Linked DNA regions of Saccharomyces cerevisiae S288C. The protein of the gene in region 2 purifies or fractionates together with the protein of the main gene of each other region. This does not show direct contact. Each region holds a gene or a part of one and is shown on either strand. Other genes may lie near its edges. The genes, in order: PRP40, PRP42, YHC1 and NAM8.

Region 1 (5,115 bases), on a different chromosome or scaffold from region 2:
AAAATTATTTCTTAAGATACAAAAAATGGATGGAATCAGACTAAATTTCTTCGGATTATCCGTACTTTTCTCATTTTTTTGTTTCAACTGGCGATTCCATATTTGTTTATCCATTGCATACAACGAAGGCTTACGGTTATACAGTCTAAAGCTAAAAAAGATAGTAATATGTCGACAGCACAGAAAGCTAAGATATTGCAACTCATCGATTCCTGCTGCCAAAATGCAAAAAGCACACAACTGAAATCTTTATCATTTGTTATTGGAGCAGTAAATGGCACGACGAAAGAAGCTAAAAGAACCTACATTCAAGAACAGTGTGAATTTTTGGAGAAGTTACGACAACAAAAGATAAGAGAGGGAAGAATTAACATATTGTCTATGGATGCTGGTGTTTCTAACTTTGCTTTCTCTAAGATGCAATTGCTCAATAATGATCCGCTCCCTAAAGTACTAGACTGGCAAAAGATAAATCTAGAGGAGAAATTTTTTCAAAACCTCAAAAAGTTAAGCTTGAATCCTGCTGAAACTTCTGAGCTTGTATTTAACCTTACGGAGTATTTATTTGAATCTATGCCGATACCAGATATGTTTACAATTGAAAGGCAACGTACCAGAACTATGTCTTCGAGGCATATTTTAGACCCAATTTTAAAAGTGAATATTCTCGAACAGATTCTTTTCTCTAACTTGGAAAATAAAATGAAGTATACGAATAAAATACCGAATACGTCCAAGTTGAGGTATATGGTATGTTCGTCCGATCCACATCGGATGACTTCATATTGGTGCATTCCAAGAGAAGAGACACCGACCAGTTCAAAAAAGTTAAAATCTAACAAACATAGCAAAGATTCTCGAATAAAGCTAGTGAAAAAAATACTTTCAACCTCAATACTAGAAGGTAATTCAACTAGTTCTACAAAACTGGTCGAGTTCATAGGAGTTTGGAATAATAGGATAAGAAATGCCCTTACCAAAAAAAAAAGTTTCAAGCTATGTGATATACTAGAGATCCAAGATAATTCGGGGGTGAGAAAAGATGACGATTTGGCAGATTCATTCCTCCATTGTTTGTCTTGGATGGAGTGGTTAAAAAATTATGAAAGTATTACTGAACTCTTGAATTCAAAAACACTGGTTAAAACACAGTTCGGACAGGTGTTTGAATTTTGTGAAAATAAGGTACAAAAGCTGAAATTTTTGCAGAACACTTACAACAATGACTAAGAAATTGTGCGGTGATCGCAAACTTGAAATAACATGTAATCTCTATGTATAATTTATATAATGATTAACAAGATAGAGGTCGACACGTCAGAATCAATAGTCCAATTCCACAGCCGGAGTTAAATGCCTCTTTTTTGACGCGGTCAACGTTAAGTTTGCAGTAGCGCTTTCGGCAGTCGGTGCAGAGCTTTCAGGCTTAAAATCCTCGAAAATTTGTCTTCTTATGTTATCTTCATCGCCTAGTGCCTTGTATTCAAGAGATTCGCCAAGCTCTTTGGAAGCTAAATCCCACGTACTAGGCTTGGGCTTACCGGTTTTTGTATATGTCCTTTGCAAAAGTAACCAAAAATAGTGCTTCTTTTGCTCCAATATCCTACGCTCATTTTGGAGTTTCTGTTGTATCTTTTCGTTTCTTTGCTTTATCAAACCATCAACAATCAAACTGATGTCTTCTTTATCCACCTTGTCAAATTTCCGGTCATTTTCCAGAACTTTTTCTATGTTTTGCTTGGTGATCTCGTCGCTATCGGCATCATTCCATTCAAAATTTTGATCTATCAACGTCTGTTGGGCTATTGATCTTTGTGCAAAGATGTACATCCTTTGTTCATCAACAAAATCTAAAAATAAATCAAGGCAGGACGAGCCATTCCTTCCAAGCATATGTAAAAAGCGCGGATCAGACTTTATATGAGGATAAATATCTGACCATCTAGTATTTGCTTTGATTTTGATTGGCACTTCTCTTAATAAGCTTTTAAAGTTATCTCTAGCAATACGGTCTCTGGTATAATTGCGCAGTCGGAGCTCATTTAGTTTGTTTTGAAGATCGTTTTCAATCGTATTTACTATTTTCAGATACTCGTTTAAAACATCTTCGTGGGTTAAGACTTTGAAGTGCCGGTTCGCCATATATCTCTTACTCTTATCAAAAACATAGTGATTTAAAAGCTGCTGCCAGGTTATGAAAGTTTCAGAGGATGATGTTGTTATAATACCGTTTAAATACTCTCTTAGTTCTTTTAGGGCCTGTGTTTTCAATTTTTTTTTTGATTCTTTCTGAGTGTCGATGAGGGTATCTATATAATCTTGAAAGGTCTGTCTCTTTGTCTTTTCATTGACCACGGAGTGTTTGTATATTGGTTCGTCGGCAATTAGTCTCTTTGCGGTAGGCCAACGGGTGTAATATTTTATATGAGAATTGTTTTGCAACATTTTCTGAAAGGCTTCTTTGAATTTGCTTGTTTCATTGTGTTCCTTAAGAAGTTGATCGGCTGATCTATTGGAAAGATATTTCTCAAACATTTCTTTCTTCCATAAGGGGTCATCATCGACCATCCAATACCTTGGATCTCTGGTCCCCAGTTCTGAAATAATTCTACTGAATGACCAAGTAGAGTCTACTTGATTTTCCTTCAGCATGGTAATAAATTCCTTCTCTGCTTCTTCTTTAGTCCTTCTCCTGACATTAAGCAGTTTAGAGTTATTAGCATATTGGCTTTCCTCCTCGTTTATAGTTCGTCCCGGCTCTTGTTTTTCTCCAGCCGTAAGGGCTATTCTATTTCCATTAACCTGTGCATGGGATACTGTATCATGTTTTTGTTCTGCGATGGGTTCTACTTTCTTCTCGAAGGCCGGAATAGTCCAGCTGGTTTCTCTTGTTGTTGGATTATAATAGTATACTTTGCCGTCTGCCGTCTTGGCCGCCTTCCAGCCATTTTCTCGAAGAAGTAGCTCCTCCTGAGAAATTAGTTCCTTGGGCTTCTCCCACGTAGATTTCTTTGTCAAAGTATTGTAATAATATATCCTTCCACTTGCATCTTTAGCTTCCTTCCAAATAGACATAGTTTCACGTCTCCCACCTCCGGCAATGCTTGTCTAGTGGTCGATCTGGCTTCAGACCTTGTTATCCTGATAGGTAGGCACGCTATTGCGATGTCATCAACTGCCAGATTTCCAAGTACATTATTATTGTCGATAATTTCATATCGTTTACCACGTCGCCCCTTTTGTATAGCAAAATACAATTATAGAACAAAAAAAGCCTGTAAAGCCAAGCAAATAGAGGCTTTCGGAACAACTCGGTGTCACTTTGACAAAAGATAAAAGAGGAAGCAACTGATAGTAGGAAATGTCACAATCATTACGTCCGTATCTAACGGCTGTTCGTTATTCCCTGGAAGCTGCGTTGACTTTGAGCAATTTCTCTTCGCAGGAAGTGGAGAGGCACAACAGACCGGAAGTTGAAGTCCCTAACACTAGCGCCGAATTGTTGCTCCAACCGATGCATATATCTCGTAATGAAAATGAACAAGTATTGATTGAGCCCAGTGTAAACTCGGTGCGTATGAGTTTAATGGTGAAACAGGCAGATGAAATTGAGCAGATTTTAGTTCACAAGTTTACTAGATTTTTGGAACAGCGTGCTGAAGCATTCTACATTCTGAGACGTGTACCAATACCTGGCTACAGTATTTCTTTTCTAATAACTAATAAGCATACTGAATCAATGAAAACTGGGAAATTGGTTGATTTTATTATTGAATTCATGGAGGACGTGGATAAGGAAATCAGTGAAATTAAACTGTTTTTGAATGCCAGAGCAAGATTTGTTGCGGAAGCATATCTTGATGAATTTGTCTATTAGATTCCTAATATAGGAAAGGGAATCTTTCTCCGTCAGGGCCCTATTGACGGAAAACTTTACGATCTGTACTGACTGTGTTAGTTTGCGTACTCAATTGAACTATTTCGAGACTATTTAGTTAGATACAATAACATGTGTATGTGAATTAATTATAAACGTACTTTTAAATTGCAGTTACTTTGTATAATTATGGTGATTTTTTTAGTACTTAAATTATATTCATAAAAAGGGATTAAAATGTTTCTCCCGACACCTAAAATTAAACTTCAATCTGTCAATTCTAACACAAAACGTTTTCATTTTACGTAAACAAATGAAGATTGAAGATTCTAAAGCATTTATTATTACTGCCGCACTAGTATACGACCAAACTAAAATTATATGATAATAGTGCACCAACATATAGTAAACAGCTTTTACCTATGCACGACTTGCATGAGGATTTCAATATTATATCACTGTAGACGAAATATGAAAAATTTCAGCAATAAAGCTCATCGCAAAGAATAGTTCGGTTATATTCTTGATTGGATATTATTTCTCTAATCTATGCGGTACTACTTCATCTAACAGAACTAGAGGAGCACTTACATAATGAGTAATCATAGCGAAGCCTATGGATCTCGCGACCAGAGAAGGGAGAAGTACACCCAAGGGAAAGAGTTCGAAGACGGTACATTAGAAACACTAGAAAGTATAATCAGTGCAGTCGAAGATGAAACTCTCTCCAAAGATTACCAACCTCTAATAGTGTTCTTCCAAAGAGGATTTGGTGCTCAATTGGTACAGACTTGGTCATATTATGCTCAAGTAAATAACCATGGGAAATTCTCGAAAACTACCTCATTACTGACTAAAACCTTACGAGTTTTGTCATCTGATACTAGTACAGTGACTATTGGGAGCGGTCTAATTAGATTGATATTGACCGATTACACAAAAGTTCTCTATAGAGGGTTGAACAATATGCGTGCGCAATTAACTAATCCAATTCTTCGTCTACTCAAACAAATAGTCAATTTCAACAATGGGCAACATATAGAGGAATTAGTTTCATATTTCGATTTTTCATTACCTATTTTACCAAGACTGTTGGTACCAAGCAAGTCTGAGTTAGCCAATGGGAATTCATCTGCTGATTCATCCAAACATGACTCATTAAGATTTACATTTATCAAGTTTTGGTTGACATTGATCTCAAATGCTTCCCCATTCGTGAGAAAAGAACTTTTGACAGA
Region 2 (5,168 bases):
GGGGTCGCTGGGCACTCCAATAGTGAGAACAGACGCTGCAGCCATATGGGCCACGGGACAGACGTGGTGGCAGATCCCACCAGTGGCTCAGGTTGAGTTGAAAGGTCAATTGCCTCAGGGTGTTTCCGGAAAAGATATCATTGTCGCATTATGTGGGCTTTTCAACAATGATCAAGTTCTAAATCACGCCATTGAATTCACGGGTGACTCTTTGAATGCATTGCCTATCGATCACAGACTCACTATTGCTAACATGACCACCGAGTGGGGGGCTCTTTCTGGTTTGTTCCCCGTGGACAAAACTTTGATCGACTGGTATAAAAACCGTTTGCAAAAGCTGGGCACCAATAATCATCCAAGGATTAATCCAAAGACTATCCGCGCACTAGAAGAAAAGGCGAAGATTCCGAAAGCAGACAAGGATGCACATTATGCCAAGAAACTGATCATCGATCTAGCCACGCTAACTCACTACGTCTCAGGTCCAAATAGTGTTAAGGTCTCCAACACCGTGCAAGATCTATCTCAACAAGACATCAAGATAAATAAAGCTTATCTAGTGTCATGTACAAACTCCCGTCTATCTGATTTGCAATCTGCAGCGGATGTGGTTTGTCCTACTGGAGACTTAAACAAAGTCAACAAGGTGGCTCCAGGTGTGGAGTTCTATGTCGCTGCTGCCTCTTCAGAAATTGAGGCTGATGCCCGTAAATCAGGCGCTTGGGAAAAGCTGCTAAAGGCTGGCTGTATCCCACTGCCTTCTGGTTGTGGTCCATGCATCGGTCTAGGTGCGGGATTACTGGAACCAGGTGAAGTTGGTATCAGTGCCACAAACAGAAACTTCAAAGGTAGAATGGGTTCCAAGGATGCATTGGCTTACTTAGCTTCCCCTGCTGTAGTCGCCGCTTCTGCCGTGCTGGGTAAGATTAGTTCTCCTGCTGAGGTATTGTCCACAAGCGAAATTCCATTCAGCGGCGTTAAGACTGAGATAATTGAGAATCCCGTGGTTGAAGAGGAAGTTAACGCTCAAACAGAGGCTCCAAAACAATCCGTTGAGATATTAGAAGGTTTCCCAAGAGAGTTTTCTGGTGAATTAGTTTTATGTGATGCCGATAACATCAATACCGATGGTATATATCCTGGTAAGTACACTTATCAGGATGATGTGCCTAAAGAAAAGATGGCGCAAGTTTGTATGGAAAATTATGATGCCGAGTTCAGAACCAAGGTTCATCCAGGTGATATAGTGGTCAGTGGGTTCAATTTCGGTACCGGTTCCTCCAGGGAACAAGCGGCCACCGCCTTATTGGCTAAAGGTATCAACTTAGTTGTTTCAGGATCTTTTGGTAATATTTTTTCAAGAAACTCCATTAACAATGCTCTTCTGACCTTGGAAATCCCAGCATTAATCAAAAAATTACGTGAGAAATATCAAGGTGCTCCAAAAGAACTTACAAGAAGAACTGGTTGGTTTTTGAAATGGGATGTAGCTGATGCTAAAGTGGTCGTTACCGAAGGTTCTTTGGACGGCCCTGTGATCTTGGAGCAAAAAGTGGGTGAGCTAGGTAAGAACCTACAAGAAATTATTGTAAAAGGAGGCTTGGAAGGTTGGGTCAAATCCCAACTATAATGTGCATAAATATCTAGAAAAATCGCACCCTTTTCTTTATTTATTAAGTTTATTTATTTATTTACGGTTATTCACGTATATTTTGTTAATCTATTGATACACAAGTTCTTATTTGTAATTTTTCTACTTCTTTTCATTAAATTTCAAAGATGCTCTTGTGACGTCCAAAACCAGTGTCTGACCTAAAGCCCGTGGGAAAAACAACGTAAATTTCTACATAAAAAAGTCAAGTAGGCGCTCGAAAGAGTTTCAGAAAATACCCAGCTGACCATTAACTGAAGTAGCAAACATCTATGGATAAATATACTGCTTTGATTCACGATGAGAATTTTTCAACTCTTACATTGAATGTCTCGAGATACCCTAAAAGTTTGGCATATTGGGAGAAGTTACTGAACTATATAGTAAAGGCTTCGGCACCAATATGCAAGTCCACTGAGCCTCAATTATTAAAGTTAATACGATGTACTTATTCTTCTATGCTGAATGAGTTTCCCTATCTAGAAAACTACTATATCGACTTCGCGCTACTGGAATACAAACTAGGGAATGTTTCTATGTCTCATAAGATATTTCAGCGCGGATTGCAAGCCTTTAACCAAAGATCTTTACTATTATGGACTTCATATTTAAAGTTTTGTAATAACGTTATCTCACACCAGAAGCAGTTGTTTAAAAAATATGAAACAGCTGAAGAATATGTTGGTTTGCATTTTTTCAGTGGGGAATTCTGGGATTTATACCTGGAACAAATTAGCTCAAGATGTACGTCTTCTAAGAAATATTGGAACGTTTTGAGGAAGATACTCGAAATTCCTTTACACTCTTTTTCGAAATTTTATGCATTATGGTTACAGCGCATAGACGATATAATGGACCTAAAGCAATTATCACAACTAACAAGTAAAGATGAATTATTGAAGAAACTCAAGATAGACATCAATTACAGTGGAAGAAAGGGACCGTACCTGCAGGATGCAAAGAAAAAGTTGAAGAAAATAACGAAGGAAATGTACATGGTTGTACAATATCAAGTACTTGAAATCTATTCCATTTTTGAATCAAAAATTTATATCAACTATTATACATCGCCAGAAACCTTGGTTTCTTCAGATGAAATAGAAACATGGATAAAATACTTGGATTATACCATCACCTTACAAACAGATTCTTTAACACATTTAAATTTTCAAAGAGCTTTACTTCCTCTGGCCCATTATGATCTTGTATGGATAAAATACAGTAAATGGTTGATAAATTCAAAAAATGACCTTTTGGGGGCAAAAAACGTTCTATTAATGGGTCTTAAATTTTCTTTGAAGAAGACCGAAATAATAAAACTACTGTATTCAGTTATTTGCAAGTTAAATGAGTACGTACTTTTGCGAAATCTATTGGAAAAAATTGAGTCCTCATATTCCGACAATGTTGAAAACGTTGATGATTTTGAGATATTTTGGGACTATCTTCAGTTCAAAACGTTCTGCCAGAATTCTCTGTATTCCAGTCGATATTCTGATTCACAATCAAACGGGCTTTTGAATAAGGAGCTGTTTGATAAAGTATGGAAACGTTTGAGTTGTAAAGAAAAAAAAAGTGGTCAAGAAATTTTATTGAATAACTTAGTACAGTTTTATTCGAAGGATACCGTAGAATTTGTAGAAAAGAACATATTTCAAAAGATAATAGAATTTGGTTGGGAGTACTACCTACAGAACGGTATGTTCTGGAACTGTTATTGCCGTTTAATTTATTTCGACACTTCTAGGTCATATTTGGACAAGAGGCAATATATTGTCAGAAAAATATGGCCCCAAATAGACAAAAAATTTGCACAGAGCGTCTTGCCGTCTTTAACAGAATTCTGTGAGTCATACTTCCCAGAGGAGATGGATACATTAGAGGAAATGTTTACTGAAGAACCTTAGCCAAAAGGCATTGTCATTTATTAAAAGGTATAAATATGTAAATGTATACTTAATGACCGTTAAGAAAAACTACTAGCCTCATCACTCCCGCAGATCTCTATAATTGTTGTTTGAATACTTGATACGGTGGAGTGGCAAGGACAGTCTGCGCAGTCCTAATATCGATATTGATGTCTTCGATCAGAGCTTCCTTAGTAGTGTAGTTCAATTCGGGTCTGATATGACCTAAAATATTGAACTTGACCCTGGCCCCATAAAAATCATTTTTAAAATCATGTATAATATGTAATTCCATGGTTTTGAAATCATTTCCGTAGAATGGATTTTTCCCAACTGAAAGTACCATAGGAAGTACGGACAAATCATCGTTCGCTTCACTTAAATATTGACCGTAATTATAAACCACAGTTCTTCCATCCCGCCTTGTTTCCACCGATAGTTCTTGACCATCAACAGTTTTAATGTGAGCAAACCCAAAGTAAACCCCTAAATCCAAATCGTTGATACCTTTAGGTAACTGATTTATAGGTACATTGGCAGTGGGAATACCCAATTCGGCGGATCCGCGGCCAAATCCACATACAATGTCACAATAGTCAGTAACAAGCGGGAATGGTGGACCTGGTTGCGCAGGTATTGGCAAATCGACTTCTCGTTTAAAAGTATCAATTATATCTGTATTCGTATTTCGGTTCATTAAGAAAGTACCTGCTAACACTAGCAATAACGAAACATAAATAGTCCACGTAAACATCAACACTTCAACAACACGTGTCTGTGACCGCTTCACGGGTCCAAATTACCACTTTCTAGAACATTGTCTTGTACGTCCAATAATAGTGTTACCAATGCTGACAGAGTATTAAAGCAACGATTTGAATTGACGCATTACCCTCCTGCATAAAGGACTACAAATACATCCTCTCTTATAACGCAATTGCAACATCTGAAGTGCAGTGTGATCAAGATATTCAATTCTCTATTAGAGTAACTTAATCATGTTTCACATGATCAGTATTCATTGTAAAACCTCTTGAGTGTGATTCGTTGCCAACTAACATAAGCGTGCGGATTCTTTAGAAAGTGGGTGTGCCGACCCTGGGAAAGATTGCATAATGTGAATCCTTAATGACTTACCCATACTCTTCATTAATAACCTATTTAGAAAAAGAAGAAAGGCTGTTTCGGAGCTCCTTTTGTGCTGTTTGCAAACTGTCTATTTTCGCATCAAGTTTTACCCATCTACTACTTTATTCGCTTTACGGTAAAAGCGAACACGACAAAATCACCTATCATCTACGAAGGGCCTTTCGAAAACAGAAGAATAAAAAGACAGGAAAAGCATCTGTTTAGAATTTTATAACTAATTTGGGGAGGTATCTGTAAAGTAATAGACAGGACCGGAAATAGTGTAAATACTCTCCTTTGTTTTTTTAGTTGTACCACTTTGAAGAGGGCTCGAGATTCACGAACAAAATGCAAAGGTTTTCACTAGTCACTCACAGATCATTCTCTCACTCCTGTGTGAAGCCCAAATCTGCATGCTCTTTGGTCAAACCAGTTCATCACTTGGTGAAAATTGATAAGTCAAAGTTATCCCCTAGATTTCC
Region 3 (4,177 bases), on a different chromosome or scaffold from region 2:
GAAAAGTGCGCACGCGTATTGCGGCTTAAAAAGATACCCGTCCATTCAAGAATGGCCGATTTAACAGAAAAGAGTAAAGAGATGAGTTTTGCGAGATCAGAAACAAAAACAAAAAGGAAAAAAAAAGGAAATTTTTTTGGGAGAAGGAAAAAAGGGTTAAGTCTGTAGAGAAACTCCGTAGTTCCCTTCTGTATTACTAATTGGTTACCAAGTAATAAATACCTGAGAGTAGTAATATATAAAAGAGAAATCGTATAAGGACCGTGTTAAATTTATATATATTAAGGAAGTCTTTCGGTTGGTAGTGTGAGATAACTAATTCTTTTTGGAGAGCCTTCTTCTTTGCTCTATCGTGGTAATAATCTACATATTCTCACAATCGCACACGTACGCTTTCTCTCTCACAAGTAACAAATTATTCTTTTTGCATTATAGACTACGTACGATAAAAATATAAAAACAGAAAATGGTCGAAGGTGATTTTGTCGATGAGCAATCGAACATTGCCTTACTAAGCTCCAAATCCATGTGTGGTGATCATCATAGCGTCAAGAATAGCATAGGGGATGAGATCTTTAAATTATTGACAAAGATTTTAAATTCGGATGAGAAAGCAAGCGGAGATGTGCACACACTCGTTTCTGGGACCCCGGATCTCTCAAATTTTAACCTCGATAATGAACCACTGGAAAACATACTCGCTGTTTTCATAATATCTTTTATTATTGTAGTGGTTGGAGTTTTACTACTTGGGTTGATTGGCATGATATTCATATCTCTCCGTTCAGGCAGCAGTAATGATAAGAAACTACAGTCCAACGATGAAGAAAAGCAAGCACTTGCTGAAAAAGCATGAAATAAAAATAGATATAATAGATGGCACCGCTCTTCACGCCCGAAAGTTGGACATTTTAAATTTTAATTCTCATGATAGTAACGATCGTGCACATTCAATTAATTATCGCATACCAAACATTTTTTTTCCTTTTTCAATTCAACTAATCTCAATTTTTTAATTTTCCTTTTTTTATTTCCTTTTTTTTTATTCTCATCATACCATTTTCATTCGTTGTTGATATCTCTATTGTTTTTTTTGGCAAAATATAGTCTACATATAATATTTAATAATCTAATCTGATAGCGTTAATTTCCATACCGCCTCCTTTTATATCCGTTGGCACTCGACGGTTTCCGTATGCCGTCGGAATGCATCCGCTTCTTGGACTCCTTGATCGTGGTTTGCAGTATATCTACACTGTAAAATATAGAAGTTTTTGGAATGGTGTTACTCCATTGTGATAATATCTTTGGGGGTTCTAGCTTCTTTGGGTTATTCAACCTAGGAAATGGATTGCTCTCGCACGTCTCATCTCTGGATCTTGAAGTTTGCTTGAAGGAATGGTGTGCAGATTTTTCATTGGCTCTTTGGGGTAATTTGCTGGCTTTAACCAAATCTCCTATATCAAACCTGTTAGCATCCACAAATACTTTGGAATATCCTGGTGAGCCATCGTATAACAATTTCAAGGTATCTATTGAGGTTTGTGCCAGTTCTTTTTGGTTCATTTTCTTCACATGCATGATGTGTCTTTTCTCCTTATTTGAAAGGCATGTAACTTTTAGCGTCTCATTTTGACTACTGTTTTCTCTTTCTTTCCTGCCTCTTTTTCCAATGTGGCGTCTTTTATGATTATGTTTATTAATAATGTCTCTTGCTTTGTTCCTATAATAGTCAGCTGTTATACGAAGGTGATTCTTACCGACCAAGTGCGATTTACGAACGCTCAACGTGTCATGGGTCAAATACGAATGACAGTATTCACAATAGTATCTCGTCATTGCCTATCTCTTTCCTCTCCGTTACTTGAGCACCTTCATCGCCTACACTAGGAGCTCATATTATATCTTCAGTATAGCAAGAATATTTTCTGTTATCCTTAACGCTTACCCGCCTATGTACCTTGACACTTGCGGAAATCTAGTGTTCAATGATAAGGTACTGTGTGGAACATATGAAAGTGAAAAGAGTTTGAACCGTTTATTATCTCTATACAAGTGTCTCTATTCACATATAAAAGAGTGAAAATAAAAATAACTTTTAAGATTTTATTACCTACATGAGATTAGAAAAATCATAACTATATTACTCAGCGGCTGTGCCTGTTGTTGATCAAAAGAAAAGATCCGCCCCTTCGAACGTCTTAGTGCCGCCTTTTGCCCGCTTATCAATTTTCTCTGAGGGAACATAACGGCATTTATCTATTCGACTTCCAAATCTACATACACGTATATAGATACATATATATATGTGTGTGTGCGCCTGTGTGTACTAGCACTTCTCAATATTATAATTCTTCCGTAAAGTTCGATCGTGACTTCCTGTTGCACAGTTATCTTAAATAATAGAATAAAAAGCTAACGCAGATTCAAGTGGGGCGTTGTCAGGCACACAAAAAGACAAGACAAAAAGTAGCGTACTAGACTTACAGTTATGCTGTTGTGTAATAGAAAAGTCCCCAAGACTTTAAATACCTGTTTTATACTGCATATATTCACTCTGTTAACACTGGGTGTGTTAGTGTCCGGAATGCCGTCAAAAATGGTATCATTCGCCTCTCAGGAGACTTTGCAGAGAATAAATAATCTCCTTCGAGGGTCTGCCAATCGAGATGTTGACATTATTGCAGAATATTTGAAAAAAGACGACGATGATGATGGCGGCGATAAGGATCACCATAACATCGATATTGACCCTTTACCTCGCCGTCCTAGTTTAACGCCTGATAGGCAACTTCTAAAAGTCGGTTTGCATGGTGCTATAAGTTCAGATTTAGAAGTCTGTAGTAATTTGACTATAAATGAGGTACTCCTGAAATTTCCCGGTTCTAACGCTGCAGACGCTGCAGTAACACAAGCTCTTTGTAAGGGTATGGTGAATTTTTTTAATAGTGGGATTGGAGGTGGTGGCTACGTAGTTTTTTCTGGCAAAGACGATGAAGATCATCTATCCATTGATTTTAGAGAAAAAGCACCCATGGATTCACATAAGTTCATGTTCGAAAACTGCTCTCTATGCTCAAAAATAGGGGGTCTTGCTGTCGGTGTTCCAGGTGAATTGATGGGTCTCTATCGCCTCTTTAAAGAAAGAGGTAGCGGCCAAGTTGATTGGCGTGATCTAATTGAACCAGTCGCAAAGCTGGGAAGCGTGGGTTGGCAAATAGGCGAAGCACTCGGTGCCACTTTAGAACTTTATGAGGATGTTTTCCTGACATTGAAGGAAGATTGGTCGTTTGTATTGAATTCTACCCATGACGGTGTTTTGAAAGAAGGCGATTGGATCAAGAGGCCGGCACTATCTAACATGCTAATGGAACTGGCTAAAAATGGTTCCGTGGCCCCATTTTATGACCCCGATCACTGGATTGCAAAATCCATGATTGATACTGTCGCAAAATACAATGGAATAATGAACTTGCAGGATGTTTCATCGTATGATGTTCATGTTACTAAACCACTGTCCATGAAAATTAGGAAGGGCGCCAATTTCATCCCTGATAACGATATGACCGTATTAACAAGTAGCGGCTCAAGTTCCGGGGCTGCACTACTTGCGGCGTTAAGGATAATGGATAATTTCCAGAATCAAGAAGGGGGCGATTATGAAAAAGAAACTACCTATCATTTGCTTGAAAGCATGAAATGGATGGCAAGCGCAAGAAGCAGGTTAGGCGATTTTGAAGGCGAAGCATTACCTAAGCATATAGAAGAGGTATTGGATCCAGAATGGGCTTTGAAAGCAGTGAAATCAATCAAAAGAAACTCTCAAGACGGAAATTTTAAAACTTTAGAAAACTGGACGCTTTATGATCCGGCATACGATATCAATAACCCGCATGGAACTGCCCACTTCAGTATAGTAGATTCACATGGGAATGCTGTTTCCTTGACAACCACCATCAACTTGTTGTTCGGTTCCTTAGTACACGACCCAAAAACCGGGGTGATCTTCAATAATGAAATGGACGATTTCGCTCAATTCAACAAATCTAATAGTTTTGAATTGGCACCCTCCATATACAACTTTCCCGAGCCCGGGAAAAGACCCCTATCATCCACTGCACCCACTATTGTGCTGTCAGAATTAGGCATCCCAGACCTCGTGGTCGGCGCTTCCGGC
Region 4 (5,181 bases), on a different chromosome or scaffold from region 2:
TTGATAGCTGCTTTTTTATTAGTCAAGAATTGAGTTTAAAGAACATTGGCTTGTGATCATCATCGAAATTGATTCTCATCACTTAAATATCTTTTGCTCCCTGTTTCTGGCGATCCCTTCGACTAAATAAGGGGTCGTTGTTGTTACGTACGGCCCAACAGGGTAGTGCCTGCTCTAGCGTCGAAGTTAGAGGAAAAGAAGCTTAGAGAATAAAAACATTTACTAGTAGTAAGGGGTCTTATTGTCAGAAAGGGACAATTGCGTGGGCAGTATTTTCAAAGAGTGGCTTTCTTCTTCTGAACGGAGTTTCAACCTGCGCTTTCTTTTCCTCCTGCTAGGATTTATTTGTGAGAAAACGAAACTAGCTATAGAAACGCGTAGCACCGGCAGGCCGAAAACCGCTACTACGTAAAGGGGAATGAAAATGGGCCAAATTTGGTGTAAAGATATAGGAGAAGAGACACGGAGTAGGAATTCGCCGTGCCCCTATACAGAGACAACATGAATAGAGAGACAAACGCATTACGTAGTCTTGGAAGATAGCGCAACGGGAAATCTTGACACAGTAAGAAACATTTACAGTATAATAATACTAAAAATAAAATTAAGATACATCAATATAAAATTTTCGACAAATACAGAAAAGAACAGAGAAGAAAAAATGAAGGTGACGCAAAAAAGGAATTGACAGGCCGTAATGAGTAGTGATGGAAAGAAGGTAAATGGAAGTAATAAAGGAAAATCATAAACATGCTTAAAAGCGTACAATCTTGAATTGAATTAAGAATAACAATAACCTTGAAAGAAATGAAAATCAAAAGGAAAAACGCAACTATAACGATACAAAAAAGACTTAATAAAAGGACATGGAATCTTGAAAACGATAAAAAGCAATGAAAAAAAGAAAATAAAGCGCTGTTATATCACCGTCAGCCTAAGACCAAATACAATTTAACACTGAAGTAAAGAAAATACCAAGAAAGAAAAAGGGCCAAAAGGAAAACAAACATTTTTATATACACGTGTGGCTCAAGCAAACATAAAACCATTACTGCCTTGTTCCAAACGGTTTAACATTGCATTAGTGCTGTTAACAACCGCTTCGCTTCCTTGCATGATAACTTGTTGGCCACCCGTGCCTGAGAGGTCCATAGAGCTAGTGTCAGCCAGTAAACTAGTAGCTTGCGTATTTGTAGCATTATTATTACTGTAGAAACTGAAATTGTTCGAGCCTAATCCATTCGCATTAGCGTATGGATTAGAATAATTCAGAATTTGACATCCAGGAAGCATCGTGGATGAAACATTATTATCTGGCAGAACAGGTGCTTCACACGTACTGGATGGAATGTATCCGTAGTTAGGTTGCTGTAAACCTGGTTGCTGTTGTTGAACCTGTAAAGAGTTACTTAACATGGCTTGCTGAAGCAACGCTGTTTGCTTAGCAGACCTGCCCCAAGACAGTCTAACTCTTGAATTTGCAATGGGGAACCCTTGCATCCCAGCAATGGCAGCCTCAGCCGATAGCCGATCAACATACTGGACAAACCCGCAACATTTGCCTACCGGAATTTTGACATAGACTATCGTGCCAAAAGGTTGGAAATAAGCACGTAATTCGTCTTCAGTCACCAGTGATGACAATCCTCCGATAAACACAGTGGTGTTATTCGGATCAGTGAAGTGGTTTAAAGACGGCTGCTGTTGGACTGGATAAATGAATTGAGACATATGGTTTCTCTTAAAGCCCATGTTATTATTTCCATTGCTTAAAAATGATTGACCCTTGGAAAGAAATCTCGAGTCTACATTTTCGTTGTTTAGTGACGAAGAACTACGGTTGTAATCGTTGTTACCGCTGACATGCTGCTGCTGACCAGATGTGGGTCCTACTTTTATGGCTCTACCATTTAAAAATACGCCTTGCATTTCTGACAGAGCTAACTGTTGTTCATCAGAATTGGTAAACTTTACAAAACCGTAGCCCTTAGACATCCCGGTAACCTGGTCGTGCACAATTTTGGCATGAGAAGTAGAAGCATATCTGTTAATGAAAAGTTCAAATAATTGAGACTCTGTAACATTTGGTGCTAAGTCTCCAACAAATATAGAACAGTTGTTACCACTCTTCACGTTGTTAAGAGAATTGTTGCTGTTTGAATATGAGGATGTAGCCCAGTTTAATTTCAATTTTTTATTTGGAAAATTGGGTATAAGCATACCATTCTTTAAAAGTGCATTTGCTGCATGAGTAGATGAGGGAAAATCAACAAAGCAATATCCTTGATTATTCTTTGGACCCATTGATGATCTCGACCCATTATTAAGCGTATTATTCCACATCATCCGGACATTAATATTCGCTTCTCCCAGAGATGCCCAAATTTGCCTAACGGTATTCTTATCCCATGTAGGATCCAAGTCGCCCATGTACAATTGGTTACCAGTGGTCCCTAAACTCACGTTAGATGCGCCTTGAAGACTCAATACGCTTGTACTGCTATTGTTGGTTTCTGAGGAAATAGTATTAGTGTACGGAGATGAGTCGTTTCTTACCAGATTACCCCTGCTAGGATAATATGTTGTTTGTTTATAGGACATTTGTACCCGCAATGTATTAGGAACTTTTGACGGGATATAGACACGAACTTAATCGACTAAGCTGATAAAATGAAGGGAAAGTAACCTAAGGGCAAAGAATATGGTTCGGTGTTTGACTACCCGAATAAGGTCACGTCGATTTAAATGTTGTCACTAAAGGAAAGCTCTGATATAAGGATGTACGCACACACAATTTCACCACCAACTCGAATCTGAATAATCCCTGAAAAGCCCTTCCCTTTGTGCCAATAGTATTTGAAAAATAAACAAACTTAGATCTACTTAAAAAAAATCCAAGATTCTGCATTTTTCGCCCTGCCTCTCCTGAGGGTAACAAAAAAAAAAGTACAATCTATCAATTATATATTGTATTCTTATGAAACGTCAATCAAAGATTTTTGCAAGCAGCGTTTTAAGCTTGTTTGCACTTTTACCACATTCACCACCTTCCTTGATAATTACTTCGATTTTCTTACGTACTATAGGCAGGAATTGTTCGATAAATACCGCTTTTCGAGTATCGATATCCTGTGTTGCCAATGACAGTAGTGTGGCATTTACTCCACTGGAGGTAGCATCCTGAACTTTCAATTCTCTGGTAAATAGTTTCAAGTGCTCAAACGGCTGCGGATAATCTGGGATTAAATATGGGTTTCGTAGCGTACCGCTGTCCTCTGTAGTCTCTGCCGTGTCTCCGTCGCTTCTAGCGCGTTCATCCTGACATCCGTATTCAACAAGAGTGTACAGAGCATTGAGATGAATAGTGACATATTTGGCGTTTCGCTTCTTCGTTTGCACTATGCTAGCGCTATCATTTTTCCCTACCTGTCCCCAACCGAGCACTCCAAAGACACCGTTCAAAAGTTTTACCCAAGATTTCCTAACCACTTCATCTCCGCAATACTTCAACAGATGAGAGAGAAATTTAGTAGAATCTGCTTGAATTTGTGTAACAATATGTGTCATTGCCATGTTAATGTATAAGACAAAAATGTTGCAGTGCAATTTTAAAATCTCCGCATCGTGACTACCTATTTCATCTACGAGATCAATAAGTCCCTGACGTACTTGCTGCGATTCATCGCAAATCAACGGTATACTTTGAGTAAGTAATGGTGTCATAAGTCGAGATTTTATTATAGACGGTATTGACTTTTGGAATGTTGTTAATGTTTCCTTTCTCACATTGATGTTATGATGCTTTAAGAGCGTTAGCCGTTTTGTTAAATCATGTGGATTTTGGTCTAAATGTTGATTTCTAATAGAAATAGTCTTGGAAACGAAAGATGTATCGGTAGCATTCCTTGCTTTTTCCTTTGGCTTACCAACTTTTAACTTTTTTCTCAAAAAATCCTGCTTTTTTTGCTTCTGCTTTCTTGATTTTGTCATTTATTAACTTTGTTTATCTCTGCACCTTTTTCTTTTTTGATTACAACTTTTAACTATTATGAACATCGATGCCTTCACCTTATAATTAGGAATCTCGCTTTTTCTGGTGGAAAAATTTTCCGATGGCCTTTGCCATTCTGAAAAATAAAAGGCAATACTACGTTGGTATCAAAATAGTGGATAAACACATATTGTAATACTAAGCGATCATGTAGTTTTGGAGGTCATGTTAAGAAACTCATTGATATTTATATTACATACTGTGACGCTAGATAAATCACATATATAAAGGTATTATATTATATTATCTTTTTCTTTTTTTTTTTTTGTTATTTTCTAACGTTAATAGATTTGTTACATTTATTACCTTTTTTTCTTGCTTTTTGTTTGCTCTAGTCTTGTATAAGATTGTTTTATTTATAAAAACAGATTGTCCTTGTTGTTTTCTTCTGAGTATTGTTTAATATTAAATTCTGGCCCGCATTTTTAATTCTTGTATCATAAATTCAAAAATTATATTATATCAGGTTGCATCTGGAAGGTTTTTATCGGACCTTCGATTGGTATCTACCTCAAGTGAATGAGCTCCACCTTCTTCTGACTGGACCACCAAAGTATTGGAATCCGGAGTAGGCATCGAAATTTCTTTGTTCTTATCAGGATGAGCAGAATCTTCGTCACCAGCACTTGGCCTGGCTTTCGTTTCCAAGTTGATTTTGTATTGCTTCTGATAAGCACTTGTCTTAATATGTAGAGGCTTTGAAATTTTTGCAGACTTGCCCACAGATTGTTTATTACCTGTTGGAACATTTCCTTGTGAAGACTTCATTCCCACAGTTCTTCGCCGTGGGTATTGATTTATATTTTGAGAATAAAATGTGCTAGGAGGATAGTTTTTAGCAGTTGTAGATGGTGCTCTCGAACTATAAGGTGAAACAGCAGTGTTCCACTGCATGGAATTTGAACTTTGCATGTATGGGAACATCGCGGAACCTGGTGTCGATCTATAATTCGGTGTGTATGGTCTCCCAACATAGGTTGGAGCTGGTTGCATAGCTTGAGGGGGCAAAACATTCCATGAAGTTGCAGTTTGTGGATACAGCATATTGTTATCACATCCTTCTGGTGGAAAGAAAAAATCGTCCGCGCCATAAAAGGCTTGATCGAGTAGAGGATCCCCCCCCATGGGAT

The links.
Region 1: the proteins of PRP42 (region 2) and PRP40 purify together in Saccharomyces cerevisiae (affinity purification with mass spectrometry; 5 studies listed by BioGRID). This does not show direct contact.
Region 3: the proteins of PRP42 (region 2) and YHC1 purify together in Saccharomyces cerevisiae (affinity purification with mass spectrometry; 5 studies listed by BioGRID). This does not show direct contact.
Region 4: the proteins of PRP42 (region 2) and NAM8 purify together in Saccharomyces cerevisiae (affinity purification with mass spectrometry; 5 studies listed by BioGRID). This does not show direct contact.

What each region holds. Positions count from the first base shown.
Region 1 is NC_001143.9:416,270-421,384, reverse strand, and holds PRP40 (snoRNA-splicing protein PRP40), read right to left. Parts: upstream 3,076-5,115; coding exon 1,324-3,075; downstream 1-1,323. Other genes in the region: CCE1 (cruciform cutting endonuclease), read left to right, coding at 169-1,230; ARC19 (Arc19p), read left to right, coding at 3,362-3,877; URB1 (Urb1p), read left to right, coding at 4,472-5,115. UniProt on the Saccharomyces cerevisiae protein: Required for pre-spliceosome formation, which is the first step of pre-mRNA splicing. This protein is associated with snRNP U1. Two commitment complexes, CC1 and CC2, have been defined in yeast. CC1 is a basal complex dependent only on the 5' splice site.
Region 2 is NC_001136.10:931,581-936,748, forward strand, and holds PRP42 (mRNA splicing protein PRP42), read left to right. Parts: upstream 1-1,923; coding exon 1,924-3,558; downstream 3,559-5,168. Other genes in the region: homoaconitate hydratase LYS4, read left to right, coding at 1-1,630; FMN1 (riboflavin kinase), read right to left, coding at 3,656-4,312; mitochondrial 54S ribosomal protein uL5m MRPL7, read left to right, coding at 5,035-5,168. UniProt on the Saccharomyces cerevisiae protein: Essential component of the U1 snRNP particle, which recognizes and binds the 5'-splice site of pre-mRNA. Together with other non-snRNP factors, U1 snRNP forms the spliceosomal commitment complex, that targets pre-mRNA to the splicing pathway.
Region 3 is NC_001144.5:723,578-727,754, forward strand, and holds YHC1 (Yhc1p), read right to left. Parts: upstream 1,840-4,177; coding exon 1,144-1,839; downstream 1-1,143. Other genes in the region: YLR297W (uncharacterized protein), read left to right, coding at 467-856; ECM38 (gamma-glutamyltransferase), read left to right, coding at 2,492-4,177. UniProt on the Saccharomyces cerevisiae protein: Component of the spliceosomal U1 snRNP, which is essential for recognition of the pre-mRNA 5' splice-site and the subsequent assembly of the spliceosome.
Region 4 is NC_001140.6:275,573-280,753, reverse strand, and holds NAM8 (Nam8p), read right to left. Parts: upstream 2,602-5,181; coding exon 1,030-2,601; downstream 1-1,029. Other genes in the region: YHR086W-A (uncharacterized protein), read right to left, coding at 362-523; IPI1 (Ipi1p), read right to left, coding at 2,986-3,990; homeodomain family transcription factor STE12, read right to left, coding at 4,514-5,181. UniProt on the Saccharomyces cerevisiae protein: Component of the U1 small nuclear ribonucleoprotein complex (U1 snRNP) involved in the initiation of meiotic recombination. Involved in the formation of DSBs at recombination hot-spots through meiosis-specific splicing of REC107 pre-mRNA.